Linked DNA regions of Drosophila melanogaster. The protein of the gene in region 2 purifies or fractionates together with the protein of the main gene of each other region. This does not show direct contact. Each region holds a gene or a part of one and is shown on either strand. Other genes may lie near its edges.

Region 1 (3,786 bases), on a different chromosome or scaffold from region 2:
AACATTAATTATTGTTTCAGCTAATACTCCTAAAAGTGCAATTTACAACACTCAACTACAGGGAAAGACACAAGAAATTCAACAATTCAAAATCACAAACACATAGTACAAGCCAGTTCTTTCGATCCCTATCACTTGTTTAATAAAAACATGTATCTTAACCGTGCTGGATTTTTTTAAATTTCTGGTACGCAACACTAAAGTCTTATCTACTACTAACCTAAGGGCGTAATCAAAACTTTGTATTACGGACTTTTGAAATAGGGCTTTTTGACCACAAAAAGGTACTATTAAGCCTATATTGCAGTGCCACGAAACAACAATATTGACAAAGACAATGGCATAAAGCATGCAGATGCTGTGATGCATGCGACTCACTGTGGGTCCCGACAGTCGCGTCCACGAGAATAGCTATTTAGAATAAAATGTATCTACATTTTGATACCCATAGTCCCGTAGTCGGTCCCATTGTCTGACCCGCAGTCGGTAAAATATAAATATTATGTAGGTGCTTAAAAGTTATCGTTTATTTAATAAAATTTAAAAGGACTATTGTGCTGGGCGTTGCTGATGACGACACACGGGCCGTGCTGCACCTTCACGGAGCTCTCGCTGCGCCAGTCGCACTCGATGGGCACAAACTGACCCTTCCGCATCATGGTCTTGGGCTTGGTGATGCCGTAGCAGGCGTGCTGGAAGACGCTTCTCGAGATGGGCAGGCACTGCTCGTAGATCTCCACGATGTCCGCGTGCATGCTGTCCACGGAGAAGTCCTGGCCACAGCGCAGCTTCTGGTGGATGTGCAGTTTGCTGCGTCGCGAGAACTGGGTGCGACACCTCCGGCAGTGGAGGTCCTTTAGCGGCGAGCTGGTCTGATCCCTTTCGATGGAATTGACGGGGGTGGAGAGCTCGTGGAGCCGCTGGAATTGGCCCATGATATTGTTCAGGATGAGGAAGTTCTTGTTGGGCAGCTGCTGGAGGGTTTCGCTGATATGATAGGGCACCACATACAGCTCCTTGGTGGTCTTGCACTGCTGCAGTCCGTAGAGATTGACGCGCATGTTGGGCGGGAAGTTGCCGTTGCACTCGCGGAAGTGCTTCAGGTAGGCGGAGCGCAGACTGGCAAGCTCTGCCTCGCTGGTGGAGCAGCCGGTAGTGGCGGTCAGGCCCTCCTCCTCCTGAAGCTGCAGGGGTAGGGCGAAGACGGACGAGTCCGCTGACTGACCGTCCGCCTCCACCCTAATCCTCTTCACCTGTACTTTCAATCTGGTGATGCTGCACTCTGCCATGCCGTACTCGCTGCTGCAGTTGAGGTAGTTTTCGATCCTCTGCATAAGCATCTCGTAGACCACGCCCACGGATTCGTCTACGTCGTAGTGGTGGTCCACCCTCAGCGAGCCGCTCTGAAAGATCAACACCTGGTCCATGGCGTTCACGTAGCAGGCCAAATTGAACTCCACGGCCACGGTGTTGTTCTGGAACATCCAGCGGAGAAGCTCGGGGATTCCCCTCGCACAGGTCTCGCCCATGAAGTGTTCCAGCTTGTCCTTGGAACTCTCGTCGCAGAAAAAGAAAGTCTCGATCTGGCGGGCCTCGATAATATCCATAACGGCCTGCTGTTGCTTGGTAAGATGCAAGCCCTGTGATGCTTCTCCTCCCCGCAGCCAATGCTGGGAGGGCGGCTCATCTGCGTCGATGGAGCTGTAGCAGGTGGCACATTCGTGTAACTGGCCCTGGGAAAACCACTGGTGGTGGAATGTCTGCGTGGTCTCTTCGTCGGTAAAAACGAAGCTGGATATGGGCTCGTCGAACATGATTGAGATATGGAAACTTTGGATTCGAAAACTGAAGGTGGATATAGCTCTGAAGCACTGAGATGTGTCTATGACAAGGTTCAGTTGCTGACTGATACCCTTCTCTTCGTCGACCTGGCTTATAGGCAAATTGAAGATGGAGGTAACAGGTAGTCTGCGAGTTTACCTGACGCAGGTATATCCCTTGGTAGATAACATCTGCTTAAGGATTTACCTAATATATTTATGGTTCTTTAAGAACTTTTATGAAGTTTATAGAGTGATTAGGGAATTTCATATTTTTTCGTTATTGCAGCAACATTTCAAAACCAGGCAATTCCAGGTGCGATTCCTTCAAATCTCATAATACAAGCTGAGTTCATTAAAGCCATTTATGGCAGTGACATATGCTGCAAATGCTGTAATTATTAGCTACTTACAAAGAAATATAGAGCCCAGTCCTATTGCCCTAGAAATATACGAATAAGAATATGTCAAACTTACCCATTTTAAACAACCAACATAGGTCAAGCTTCGTGCCTTTCAATTTAGTTCTCTCTATATATGCATTTGTCCCTATTCATTAATTTTAACTAGTTAAAGCTGCTTCTAAAAAAAAAGCCCATTCAACTCACTAAAGTGACCAAAGGCAAAAAGATCAACCAACAGACAGAGAGAGAGAGAGTAAACAAACGGCGCCACCACCGCGTGCAATTTGCAGCAGTCAAACGCAGGGCGCACCGTACGGTGGAGCCTCCCACTGCCACCGTTTTGAGCCATGGCATCGTGGCCGTTGTCTCCGCTGTAAAACCAAGTGCACAATGGCCAGTGGAGAAAGAGGACACTGGACAATGGCCACCTCGTGGCAAGTGACGCGACAATGGCGACGGCGATGTCCTGGATCTACAGGATCTGGACTCTGGAGCCAGTTGCACTGCAGTCGCTTAATTTCCGTTTCCGCTTTTCACGCTTCATTGTCCGCCTTGGCTTAGGTTTTGGTTTCGGTTTCGGGTGTGGTTTTCACCTCCCAGAGTTTTCCGCACTCAGTGCTATTTAAAGCCGCCTCCCAGTGAAATATGCTTGCAAATTAAGAATGGCAATTAGAAGGTGCTTCAAGTGGACAGTGGACAATAATTATTTAACCGAGTTTTACTTTCTCCCTGGTCGTTTATCTAGCTTTCATTGCTCTGAATTTGTAATGCATATATAGAGTTATATTAATGACTGATAATCATGGAAACCTCTGTTTTATTTCAATCAACAGAGAATAATGTCAATGGAAGCTAAAATTTTGAATGCCAATTGTATTACAAATAAATACTATGAATTCTTCAGATCTCTTTTTTAGTTAATGTAGTTATTTTGCTCAAATATCACTGAGTAAATGGCAATTAGTTTTCTTTGAAACTAATTTGTTTTTAATGCTCTTCTACTACTGGATTGCATTTAATGAAAATTGGACTCCAGGGAATTCAGAAAACAACAATTTTAAGGTTAAAAGACCAAAATATAAAGTTTACGGGGTCCAATTATAATTTTGAATTTTCGAAAATTATGCTATTAAAGTACCAGGAAATACAGAAAACAAATGTTTGGGTTAAAAATTCGAAAAAGGAAATGCTATAGAATCGAACAACAAATTACATACTTCCATAAATAATAATAATTCGTTTTTATGTGTTGATTTCTTTCATTATACACTAGTTTTTGGAGTTAAAAAAAGGTGTACTTTTGTCAAAAGGTTTTCTTTTGGATTTTGAAACTTCCAAGAGCACCCTATAAATCACTTTTGTACTTTGTTGCGCATTGTCAGCTTTTCAGCTTTTATTTGCTTTCCTATTTTTCTATTTGTGTGTTTATTTTTTTGCAGCTTGGGCATTTGGCTGGCATGTAAACAGTGCACTGTAGTGCCACACAGCAGTCAGGAAAAAAACTTAATTAAGTCTGATGCAGAACGAAGGGCTGCTCCCGGGGCTGAGTTGGTGGCCAAAAT
Region 2 (3,090 bases):
TTAATGAAACCAATGAGCAAACCTAACTTGTGTAAGTCAAAGAGTAGCGGAACCAATTGTTAAACCTAAGCATAATAAATCTGTAATAAAACTGAGCTGTTGTATTAAATGAACAATAACAATGTTGAAGACAAAGTTTGGATATCGGCACCAATGCGTAGGCCATTCAATTTGTGAACTTCGAATACGAGTACTTAGTGTTTTTACTAGAAAAGACTTCTTTCCTTTTCCCGCGAATGTTTCGTTGCGATGTTTTCTTTTATACTTTTGTACTAACGCCCCCCTTTCCATAGTCCGACCTAATTTCCATAATGTTTATAAGCTCGATTGATGTCTATATGTACCTCTAGCTAAACTCAAAGCATAATTGATCAAATTGGTAAATGAAAGCAATTCGAAATTAAAACGAATATGTGTACTACTAACGCGCAAATACAAGAATTATTAATGAAAGTTTACTTTAAAGAACGGATTAAAATTTTTAAAAGTATGAGCTATTAAAGAACAAACTTAGTTAAATGTTATATATGAAAAACCAAGAAATTGATGTACATGTTAGCGATATTAATGAGAAATGTGACAAGTGAAAAATAAACCAGAAGAAAATACATATACACAAGTTGCCAAGAGACAGTCGCTTCTATTTGGGATCATCAATTTGTTACGCCTAAATGGGATACATTAAACTAAGTCGGCGGGGTACGCGACCCACCTTAGTATCTGTACTTGGTAGAGTAGTCCTTGGGCGAGACTACCAGACCACGGCCCTTACGGGCACCTCGATACACCGTTTCCACAATGTCGATCATCTCCTGCTTGTCCTCCAGTGGCCAGTTGATCTTGTTGTTGTTGCCCGTGCCCAAATCGATCATGATGTGCTTGTTGCGGAAGAAGAACATCACCGTGCAAGGATCGTACAACTCGTACATCTTGTTGAAGTCCGGCACCTCGGTAATGTCCACCAAATAGATGACAGCAAAGTTCTTCACCTTCTCGGCGATGCTGTACATGACCTCATCCATTTTCATGCAGGCGGGGTCCCAATCGTGACCGAAACGTATTACCTGAAGGGGAAACAATTCTGATTATTTATGTCTGATGGGTGATTGACCAAGTGGTGCTCCACGAAGCAGTGTCTTCTTAAACCGACTGCGATTACTCACAACTACTCGGTCCTCCTCGGAGAGAATGGCCTGGTCCACCTGCCAGCCATTGTGCAAATGAGGGAGCATATACGACATCCTGGCGCGTTTTTTATTTCAAGTTACCGCAGAAAAATTAAAACATAAACAAAGTCTCACAAAATAGTGATGTACTAACAATGATAGCATAACCTTATCGATTACATATCGATGACAGCTGTCAGCGGAAACGGAACCATGTGGCTATCGAAATTTAAAATGTGTTTCCCAATAAAACGCAGTGCAAGAACGTTCGGTTTATAATTAAGTTTTTAATAGGCATTTAGTAATTAGTAGCGTCCTTATCAGTTCAAGTATTTCTGCTTAAAGCTATCTATGTGTTCCAGCACCCTGACCGTCATCTCGTTGATATACTCGTCCCGTCCCTGCTCGGTAAATGGATCGGGAGCACTGCGTCGCGAGACGTAGTGATTGGGTAGGTTCACTTTGTGGCGACCGATGGACTTGATGATCAGCCACAGGATGTAGAAGCTGAACCACACCGTAAAGTAGAGCGGGATGTACCAGAGCTTGCGGCCAATGTAGAAGTAGCTGTACTTCTTCACACGTGGCTCTGGTGGCGGCGGAGGAGGTGGTGGTGGTTCCGTCGGCGGTGGCGGTGGCGGTGGTGGTGGTGGCGGTGGAGGAGGAGGCGGTGGGTGGTGGACATGGTGATGGTGGTGTGGATGATCATCGTAAATGACATCCGGATAGGAATCATCCGGATACGAGGGCTGGTAGTCGAAGTGAGTCGGATAGTGATCGTGGTGGTGATCATGCACGTGATCATGATCGGGTGCATGGTCGTGATCGTGATCATCCGGCTTGGGAGCCGCAGATTCTGGGTGAGATTGCAGCCAACCGGGCGGTGGTGTGGCATACTCCATATTGGGATCATATTTGTGATCGTCGTCGGGACCTGAACCATCATTGTGCAGAGATGGCAGACCGCCGATGTCCCCATCTCCGCCGCCACCGCCACCCCCATCTCCACCATCAGCAGGAGATCCCATATCCATGCCATCTGCAGGAGCAGGACCGCTCATACTGTCCTGATCCTTGGAAGGAATGTTGTCCTGTGCACTAGCTGGCAGGGTTCCGATGGAATCATCATTACCGGGGTCATCATCAGCCGGCGGGGAAGCACTCGCCATACTGGCCGCCGTATCCTTGTCGGCATTGCTATTGGGCACTGGACCGGGATATTTGTAACCATTGGAAGAAGGCCCCGGATATATGTATCCAGCGTTGCTCAGCCCTCCAGATGCGGGTGGCAGGTAACTGGTCACGGTATCCGATGGCAATGCAGCCTTGGGATCCTGTGACGGTGATGGATACTTTGTGTTCAACGGCGGAAAGGAGTACGTATCGCCTGGAGAAACATAGGAGTTCACCGAATTGGAGCCGGCGGCCACCTTGCCATCCTGTCCATGGGAATGATCGTGACTGTGGTCGTGACTGTGATCATGATTGTGTCCCTTGAACAGACCAGCGGCGGTTCCCTCGCCAGGAGCAAAACGATCGGCGATTCCTTAGGTTAAATACAAAGATAAGTATGTATAAAAATATTTGTTAGAGAATTTAAGAACTGTTTTGATTTGTATGCTCTATTGATGCGATGATGATACCTTTCTTATAGCTGGGCCTCGAAGCTTGATAGCGGGATGGATTTTGTGATGATGAAGAGTAGTAGGATGGTATACCTTGCGGGTAAATACGTGTCTTCGTTGGTCGGGAGTTGTACTGCTGCGGCTTGCCGCCTCGCAGCAACGGAGTTATCAGTTGGCCAAAGGGATACGCTGTCCTGTAGTCCACGGCGCGTCCTGTGGAGGCTCCTTGTACGACTGGCTCTGTTTGCTCCTCGGATACTGGAGCAGGATCATCGACTTTTTCCGCCTCTGTGACAACT
Region 3 (7,778 bases), about 15 Mb from region 2:
TTTCAATATTATTACGTATACAGTTCACAAAAAAAGGTTCAAGATTCAATTATTCCTGCCTGCATATACATATGATGTATTAGCTTTACAATAGCTTTAAAAAATAGTTTTTTCATAAAAATATTTGTATATTCAGTTAGTTATTATGAGCGTATTTTGCAGGCAGTATACTTTCTGGGTGAAAGCCAAGGAAGATTACTTGTTACAAGCAAATTAATTCACCATACATCACCACAATTTAATTAATCATGAAATTACAGCGTTTTAAAGCTAATTCCTTTCCTAGATTGCAGCGTATTCATATCACCCAATATCACTACTTATAGATTACACGGAACCGAACCGCACGAGAGAAAGAACAAACGGGGAATCACCAAGAGAAACGCAGTTGAGCGAATATCTCTTATATATTGGCATTACTCATCGCTACATTATATACCCGTTTCATTTGCAAGGCAGTGTGAAATACAGCCAAGTGACGTCATCATTCGGCAAATCAAGAGAGCGACATCTAACAAAACAACAACAGCTGACTCAGAGAGAGCAGGAAAGAGTTTTCGATATATATGTACACAACGCCTAGTCAGTTGGTCTCCGTATTTCGATTTAGGAGGCAGTTCCGTTAACACTGCAAATCAACAAGTCCAAATAATATTGCACGCACGTCATTTGCCACACGACAAAAACATAAATATTTGTATTCAATTCATATATTGGGATTTTACGCGAGATCTTCGCAAAAAATCATTTGGGCTTTTCCAAAAACCAGATAATGTACGTAAATTATTTAAAAGGAAAATCTATATTTCAAATCATTGCGAAACACGAAGCGACAGTTATTGGTGACAATTAAAGTGTTAATTATCGAAAAACCCCACACGAAATATGAATAAGTTGTTATAATTTGACTATTGCATGACGATAGTTCTGTGACAAATAACTGAAATATCACTCATGGGCAATCAGTAATACCAACTTTCTGTTCTTCTATACAGTCACGCCTATTTGTTCGCCCTTTATTCGTAATATTCATATAATATATTCATTTCTAAAAATGGTGAAATTCGAAACATTAATTTTTTGCAATTTTTTAGCAGTAAATCCCTATTTCCCATTTATTAGTCCAATTATGATTGAAACTGGCCCGAGTGAATACTCGAATCAATATTTGAAAATATGATGAAAATAGAAACATTCATCTTTGGTGTTTTTGAACAGTAAATTCCCATAAATCCATCCTGTATTGTATTCTTTTGAACAGTATGTTCCCCTAACTTCCTTCTAAAATCAAATTACGAATGATTTTTAAGCTGAAATTGGTCCAAGTGAATACTCACAAATGTAATATTTGTAAATATGATAATTAGAAATAATCATCTTTGATCCCTTTGACCAGTAAATTCCCATAAATTCCTTCTTAAATCAAATTACGAATGATATTTCAGCGGCAACTAGCCCAAGTGAATACTCACGAATGAATATTGATATTGGAGTGCCGGCGTTTTTTGTGGCCATGTTATTATTGTTAAGGTTTTGTTTGCCCAACTCGCGTCATCGATTTCAGTGGGCGCACCACATACACCGCCACACACACACACACACACACACACACCACAACAACACACACTCTGCCAGTTTTATTTACTTATAATTTTTATCAGTTTTTTTTTTTACGACTTGCTCGCCCCACTGGAGCTCGGCTTCGTCTGCCGGGCCTGGGGTTTTAGAGTCGCTCGGTATTATAACAAATCCGTGGGCCATCGAACCGAACCAGTCCCAGCTCGGCTCTGATCCCAGTCGGTCGCAGTCGCTCAGTCGCTAACCAAACTTCCGCCAGCATCGATCCCGCGCATTATAGCCTTATAATATCTGTGCTCTTATTTCCCATCCTTTTTGCCCTCATTTGACCACCAATCCAATCAAAATGCGTCGCGCAGACGCTTTTGCTGTCTCGCTTTGTGTGATTTTGGCCTTGCTGCAGACGATGGAACCGGTAAAAGCCGAGGGGTAAGTCCATATACCACAAATACTATACTATATGATCGGATCGATTTTAAAACACATCTACGGTTAGAGTATTAGTAGAGTCGGGTTAGGAATTCGCAAAAATATAGGCGATAATCAAAGCCAGATATCTAAAACTATAGTTCTTTACAAAGCTGGCCTATAAAACGTATTGTTCTTACTTCGGTTATTCGGTTGATAATTTGAATAAAAACTGATGGCTAAAAATTTTAACCATTTCCCTAATACGCTAGTGGTTGGATTCCCGTCTCACTCGAACACTTAAACACAGATTACTGCAATCCAAACTATATTATCTATGTTTATTACTTATTACCACTATTATATTCACAGTCACTGTATGGCTGTCGTCGAATATTTCAATTAATTAGGTATGCATATATGTATACAGATAGGGCCGTTTTTAATGAACATCAAGGTAATTAAGCTGTTATTTATACGCAAAATCACCTATTAGCTTAATTGTTTATACCATCTGGTTTGTCCTTGGATTTATAGGAGAGTTTTTTTACGGTTTTTACAAATCACTAACCTAATAACATTTTGCTCTACATTTTTCAAATAGTAATTTAACTTTTAGATATATAATTATGTATATAGCAAATGTTAAACATCGTTCCTTATCACACCTATAAGATTAAACACTAGACTTCTGTCCACGTAGTGACGATGAGCACCTAAAAGGGTGAATTTGGGGAAATTCAATAAAATTGAAAATCTGGTACGATAGTCCGATCACAACTATTCACTCACTTCAAAAATATTCAGAATTTCTTTTTTAAAGAGGTTTAGTTACTCCGAACTAATATCTGGTATTTAATTTTTGAGTTGAAGGTGCCATCGCCACTTTAATCTCACCTTGTTGAGGGGTGTTTTATTTTCTTCATTTTTGTTGAGCTCAACTTATGATGCTAATTGAGTTTCACTGTAAGCCATTTTGAATATGGATTTTTATATTTTTTACTCAAACAAGAGGATCACGTCACATACTTTGTTTGCCTCAATGGTTTCGCTGATCAATCTTTCACACGATCTTAAATCTGTACTTTTTCCTGTCCCGCCAATTATTAGTAATTAGAAACGAATATGAAGGTGGGTTATGGAACACACTTAAAAATGTCATAAACTTGAAGTCTAACATAAAAGGCTGGAACAAATCTAATCCAAAAAAGTTAATGATGTTCAGGCTAACAATATTGGTGTACGTGATCGGGGACTGTAAGTGCGAGAAAGATTGCTAATCGCAAAAGCTGGAATTATGTAATCTCTAAGCCGGTTTCATACTTTTCAGTAGAAGATCAGGTTCTGGGAATATTATCCGTTATATATATATATACATATATATTTCATCATTTGCTGTCACAGATCAAAAAAACCATAACTCAAAAACCTAAACCGAATCTTAGACTGCCTTTTAAAGATTGGGAACATTATCAAGTCGAGGTTAATGGTTTTAAGTTTCATTTCTGTGTTTCCCTAGAGATTAGACAATATACATTTATTTTTGAATTCTTAGAGCATGGTCAAGAATTTGATATTGATAATTTGAATATTGATAGCTATAGTTACTATCAAGAAATACAATACTATATATTATACAAATACAATACTACAAATATTTCCAAGTGGATATGTGTATGTTTTTTTCTCTTCTTGGAATTTTTTATGGCCGAATTGTTATTTGATTTTATTTTGTTTTTCATGACAATAATGTTGATGTTTTCTTTGCTTCCAGCAAGTACACCATTGTGGGTCCCGGAACCATCCACTCCCACCGTGACTACAATGTGGCCGTGGCTGTCCATCAGACCAAGGAGCCAGTCACCCTGAAAGTGGGCATCACTGGACCCTCCTACAACAAAACTGAGACCGTGGAACTAGCCACTGCCGGTGAGTTCAAGCAGATCACCTTCAAACTGCCCCCATTGGAGGCGGGTGAATATAATCTGACGGCGGAGGGCGTCAAGGGACTGGAGTTCAAGAACTCCACCAAGCTGAACTGGGAGAATTTCAAGCCATACATTAAAATCCAGACCGATAAGGGAAAGTACAAGCCCGGTGATACTATCAACTATCGTGTGATCTTCCTGGACGAGAACCTGCGGCCGGATACCGCTAAGGATGAAGTGGTGGTTTGGTTTGAGGACTCCAAAAGGAACCGCATCAAGCAGGAGAAACACATAAAGACCACCGGTGGCGTCTACACTGGCAAATTCGAGCTCTCCGAGTTCGCCACATTGGGCTCCTGGTCCCTTCATGTTCAGAATGGAGATCAGCACCACGACGGAGGTATTTACTTTGGGGGTCGTAAACAATTTGGAGGATTTGGTCATCGCTGGCATCGCTCGGATGAGCTCGTCAACTTTGAGGTGGAGAAGTACGTGCTGCCCAAGTACTCCGTCAAAATGGATGCCACGCAGCAGGTTTCAGTGCGAGATGGCGAGTTCAATGTCGTCCTGAAGGCCAAGTAAGTATTACCGGAAGTTTTATGCTTTAGGACATTCTTATATCAGCATTATCCCCCAGCTACACCTATGGTAAGCCCGTGAATGGTAAAGTTCTTGTCAATGTCCATCTGGACTCGACGAGCAGTTGGGAGAATGTGGACGGCAAGACAGTGCAAACGGACTACCCCGGACATTCTGTTGTTGGCACCGCCGACATGGTCGGAGGCAAGGCCAAGTTGACCATGGATCTCAAGGACTTCGCCAGTTATCTGCCGCACAAGACCTCTTCTTCATATGCCCAGATTACGGCTACCGTGGAGGAAGACTTCACCGGCGTGAAGCTCAATGAAACAGGCGGTGTGCAGCTGTACCCCTATCGGTATGAGATGTCCTGCACTGACTACTCCAGTTGCTTCTCCTTCAAGCCCGACAAGGAACATGAACTTAACTTCAAGATTACATATGTCGACGGCTCACTAATTACAGACACCAAGTCTGTTGTGAAGGTGGGTTAGAAATCTTAAGAGATCTGTCACTACTTATAAATTCGTTTTAACTCTAGGCCAAGTTCACTGAAGGAATTCGACGCAATTATGCTTTCTATGCCTTTGGAACAGATCATCAAGAACCGGAATTGCCAACGATTGAGAAGAAAACGTTTGTGTTTGAAAGCCATTTGAATGCGTCTGGTGTGGCGCCTTTCAAGGTGGTTCTTCCCGATTTGCCGGATATCGCCAACTTTACTCGTTACTATAGCATTGAGCTGGAGTTCGTCGATGAAAAACGAGATCTGTACACCACTTATCCCTACAGGGAACCAAAACAGATTGAAAATCCTAGCTCTGAAGAGGAAAAGGAGTGGTTCAGGGCAGAAGTTCAGAGGCCCAAGGACGTCTGGAAGTGAGTACAGTTGAGTTGAGCAAGGGTTCCACGATTTTAAATAACCATATACAATACTTCTATTGCAGCCTCAAGATCGGGCAGGAGTATCAAGTAATCCTCAACTCCAGTCGTCCGCTCAAATACTTTGTGTACAACATTGTGGGACGTGGAAACATATTGGAAACGAAACGTGTGGACCTCGCGGAACCCCAAACGACCGTCAACGTAACCATTAAGCCCACTTTCCTCACTACTCCCTATGGTCGGGTGTACTTCTACTACGTGGATGAGACAGGAGAGTTCCGATATACCGAGGAAACATTCAGTGTGGAGGTCGAGCTGCAGAACCAGATCGAAATCAAGGCTCCCGCGGAAGTTAAACCGGGTGCCGACGTTGCACTGGAGATCAAGACGTCGCCAAAGTCATTCGTTGGATTGTTGGCCGTCGATCAGAGTGTCCTTCTGCTGGGCAGCAACAACGATTTGAACAAGGAATCCTTCAACTGGCGCCTAAATGGCTATGACACCTCAACTCCCTGGCAGGGTGGATACTCCTACTACCCCGGAGAGCGAACTGGAGTCGTGACTATGACCAATGCCTATTTCTTCTATAATCGCACCGCCCCAGACTACAATATTCGTACGTATAAATTTGTCATAATAATAAACCACATTAATTTGCAATTATTGGAAGTTACAGAAGGATTTGGTGGAAGCTCTTTCGCCATGAGAAAGACTACAGTGGCACATGATAGTCATGTATTCCATTCCGGTGCTGGCGGACCAACTCAGGCCGTGGGATTCTCCGCCGAAAGTGCGTCTGCATCTGCAGCACCAGTAGTGCGAAAGAATTTCGCAGAGACCTGGATCTTTGCCGATATCGAGAGCACCGAGGAGGAGGTGTTCAAGTGGGTAAAGACCATACCCGATACGATCACCAACTGGGTGGTCACCGGCTTTTCACTGCATCCCCAGAAGGGATTAGGTGTCACCAATGATCAGACAAATATCAAGACATTCCAGCCGTTCTTTGTCTCCGTTCGATTGCCATACTCCGTGAAGCGAGGTGAGGTGATCAATGTACCGGCACTGGTCTTTAACTACCTGCCCAAGACACTGGACGTGGAACTGACCCTGGACAACGAGGATCAAGAGTATGACTTCGTGGATGCCTCGAATGAGGTTATTGGTGACCAGAAGCGTACGCAGAACATCAGAGTGGGCGCCAACGAAGCGGCAGGAGCCTCATTTTTGATCCGACCCAAGGTCATTGGAAATATTTTGCTGAAATTCAAGGCCATCTCACCGCTGGCCGGAGATGCTATACACAAGCCGCTAAAGGTAGTGCCCGAAGGAATTACCCAGTACCAGAACAGGGCATTCTTTATCAATCTTAAGGATACGGGTGAGTTTAAGAACACCTTCGAGCTGGAAGTGCCGGAGGATGTGGTCCCCGACTCCGAGCGTGTGGAATTCGGATTGGTGGGTGATCTCTTGGGACCAGTGGTCAAGAACCTTGAGAACCTGTTGCGATTGCCCAGCGGTTGCGGTGAGCAGACCATGTCCAAATTGGTGCCCAACTATCTGGTGAGGGATTATCTGAAGAGCATCAAGAAACTCACACCTGCATTGGACACTCGCATCAAGAGGAATCTGCAGGACGGATACCAACATATGTTGCACTATCGCCACGACGACGGCAGCTTCAGTTCCTTTGGGCCCACCAAATGGAGGCAGGAGGATCCAGTGCGCAATGGTTCCACCTGGCTGACGGCCTATGTGCTGCGCTCGTTTAGCAAGATCAAGGATATAATTGACTTGGATGAGCAGATCCTGGCCAAGGGCTACGAATTCCTGTTAACTCGACAGGCAGAAAATGGTAGCTTCACGGAACACGGAGAGTATTTCTATAGCTCCCAGCGATCTCTATTGACATTGACCGCAAATTCCTTGCTCGCCCTGCTGGAGGAGGAGAAACCGAACCAGGCTGCCATTGACAAGGCGGTTGCCTATCTGAGCGCCAATACTGCCGAGTCCATTGAGCTCCTGCCCAAATCCATTGCCATTTATGCCCTGCAAAAGGCCAAGGCGCCGGAAGCTGCCAAGCAGGTGGCCAGTCTTAAGTCCCTGGCCAAACACGAGGACGATCGCACCTGGTGGACCGAGGATCTGGATAAGCTGCGTGCCTCCAAGAACTGCGGACGCTGGTGGTGTTGGATCTGGAGTCAGGATGTGGAGATCACATCATATGCGCTGCTTTCCCTTCTGGATTCAGACCAGGAGACAGCCGACTCTGTTCTGAACACCGTTCGCTGGTTGATCGCCCAGCGTAATGGCTTCGGAGGATTTGCCTCCAGCCAGGACACGGTTGTCGGCCTCACCGCCCTCATTAAGTTCGCTGAGAAGTCGGGCTACGAGGCGGCC

The links. The genes of interacting proteins can lie anywhere in the genome.
Region 1: the proteins of Dim1 (region 2) and CG7271 purify together in Drosophila melanogaster (affinity purification with mass spectrometry, with the first as the bait; one large-scale study listed by BioGRID). This does not show direct contact.
Region 3: the proteins of Dim1 (region 2) and Tep4 purify together in Drosophila melanogaster (affinity purification with mass spectrometry, with the first as the bait; one large-scale study listed by BioGRID). This does not show direct contact.

What each region holds. Positions count from the first base shown.
Region 1 is NT_037436.4:18,586,887-18,590,672, reverse strand, and holds CG7271 (uncharacterized protein), read right to left. Parts: upstream 1,915-3,786; 5' UTR 1,815-1,914; coding exon 531-1,814; 3' UTR 508-530; downstream 1-507.
Region 2 is NT_033779.5:4,401,488-4,404,577, reverse strand, and holds Dim1 (Dim1), read right to left. Parts: upstream 1,328-3,090; 5' UTR 1,242-1,327; coding exon 1,164-1,241; intron 1,065-1,163; coding exon 714-1,064; 3' UTR 623-713; downstream 1-622. Other genes in the region: CG33003 (uncharacterized protein), read right to left, coding at 1,487-2,712, 2,810-3,090.
Region 3 is NT_033779.5:19,547,922-19,555,699, forward strand, and holds the start of Tep4 (Thioester-containing protein 4), read left to right. Parts: upstream 1-1,771; 5' UTR 1,772-1,924; coding exon 1,925-2,007; intron 2,008-3,760; coding exon 3,761-4,492; intron 4,493-4,551; coding exon 4,552-4,978; intron 4,979-5,034; coding exon 5,035-5,372; intron 5,373-5,440; coding exon 5,441-5,994; intron 5,995-6,048; coding exon 6,049-7,778.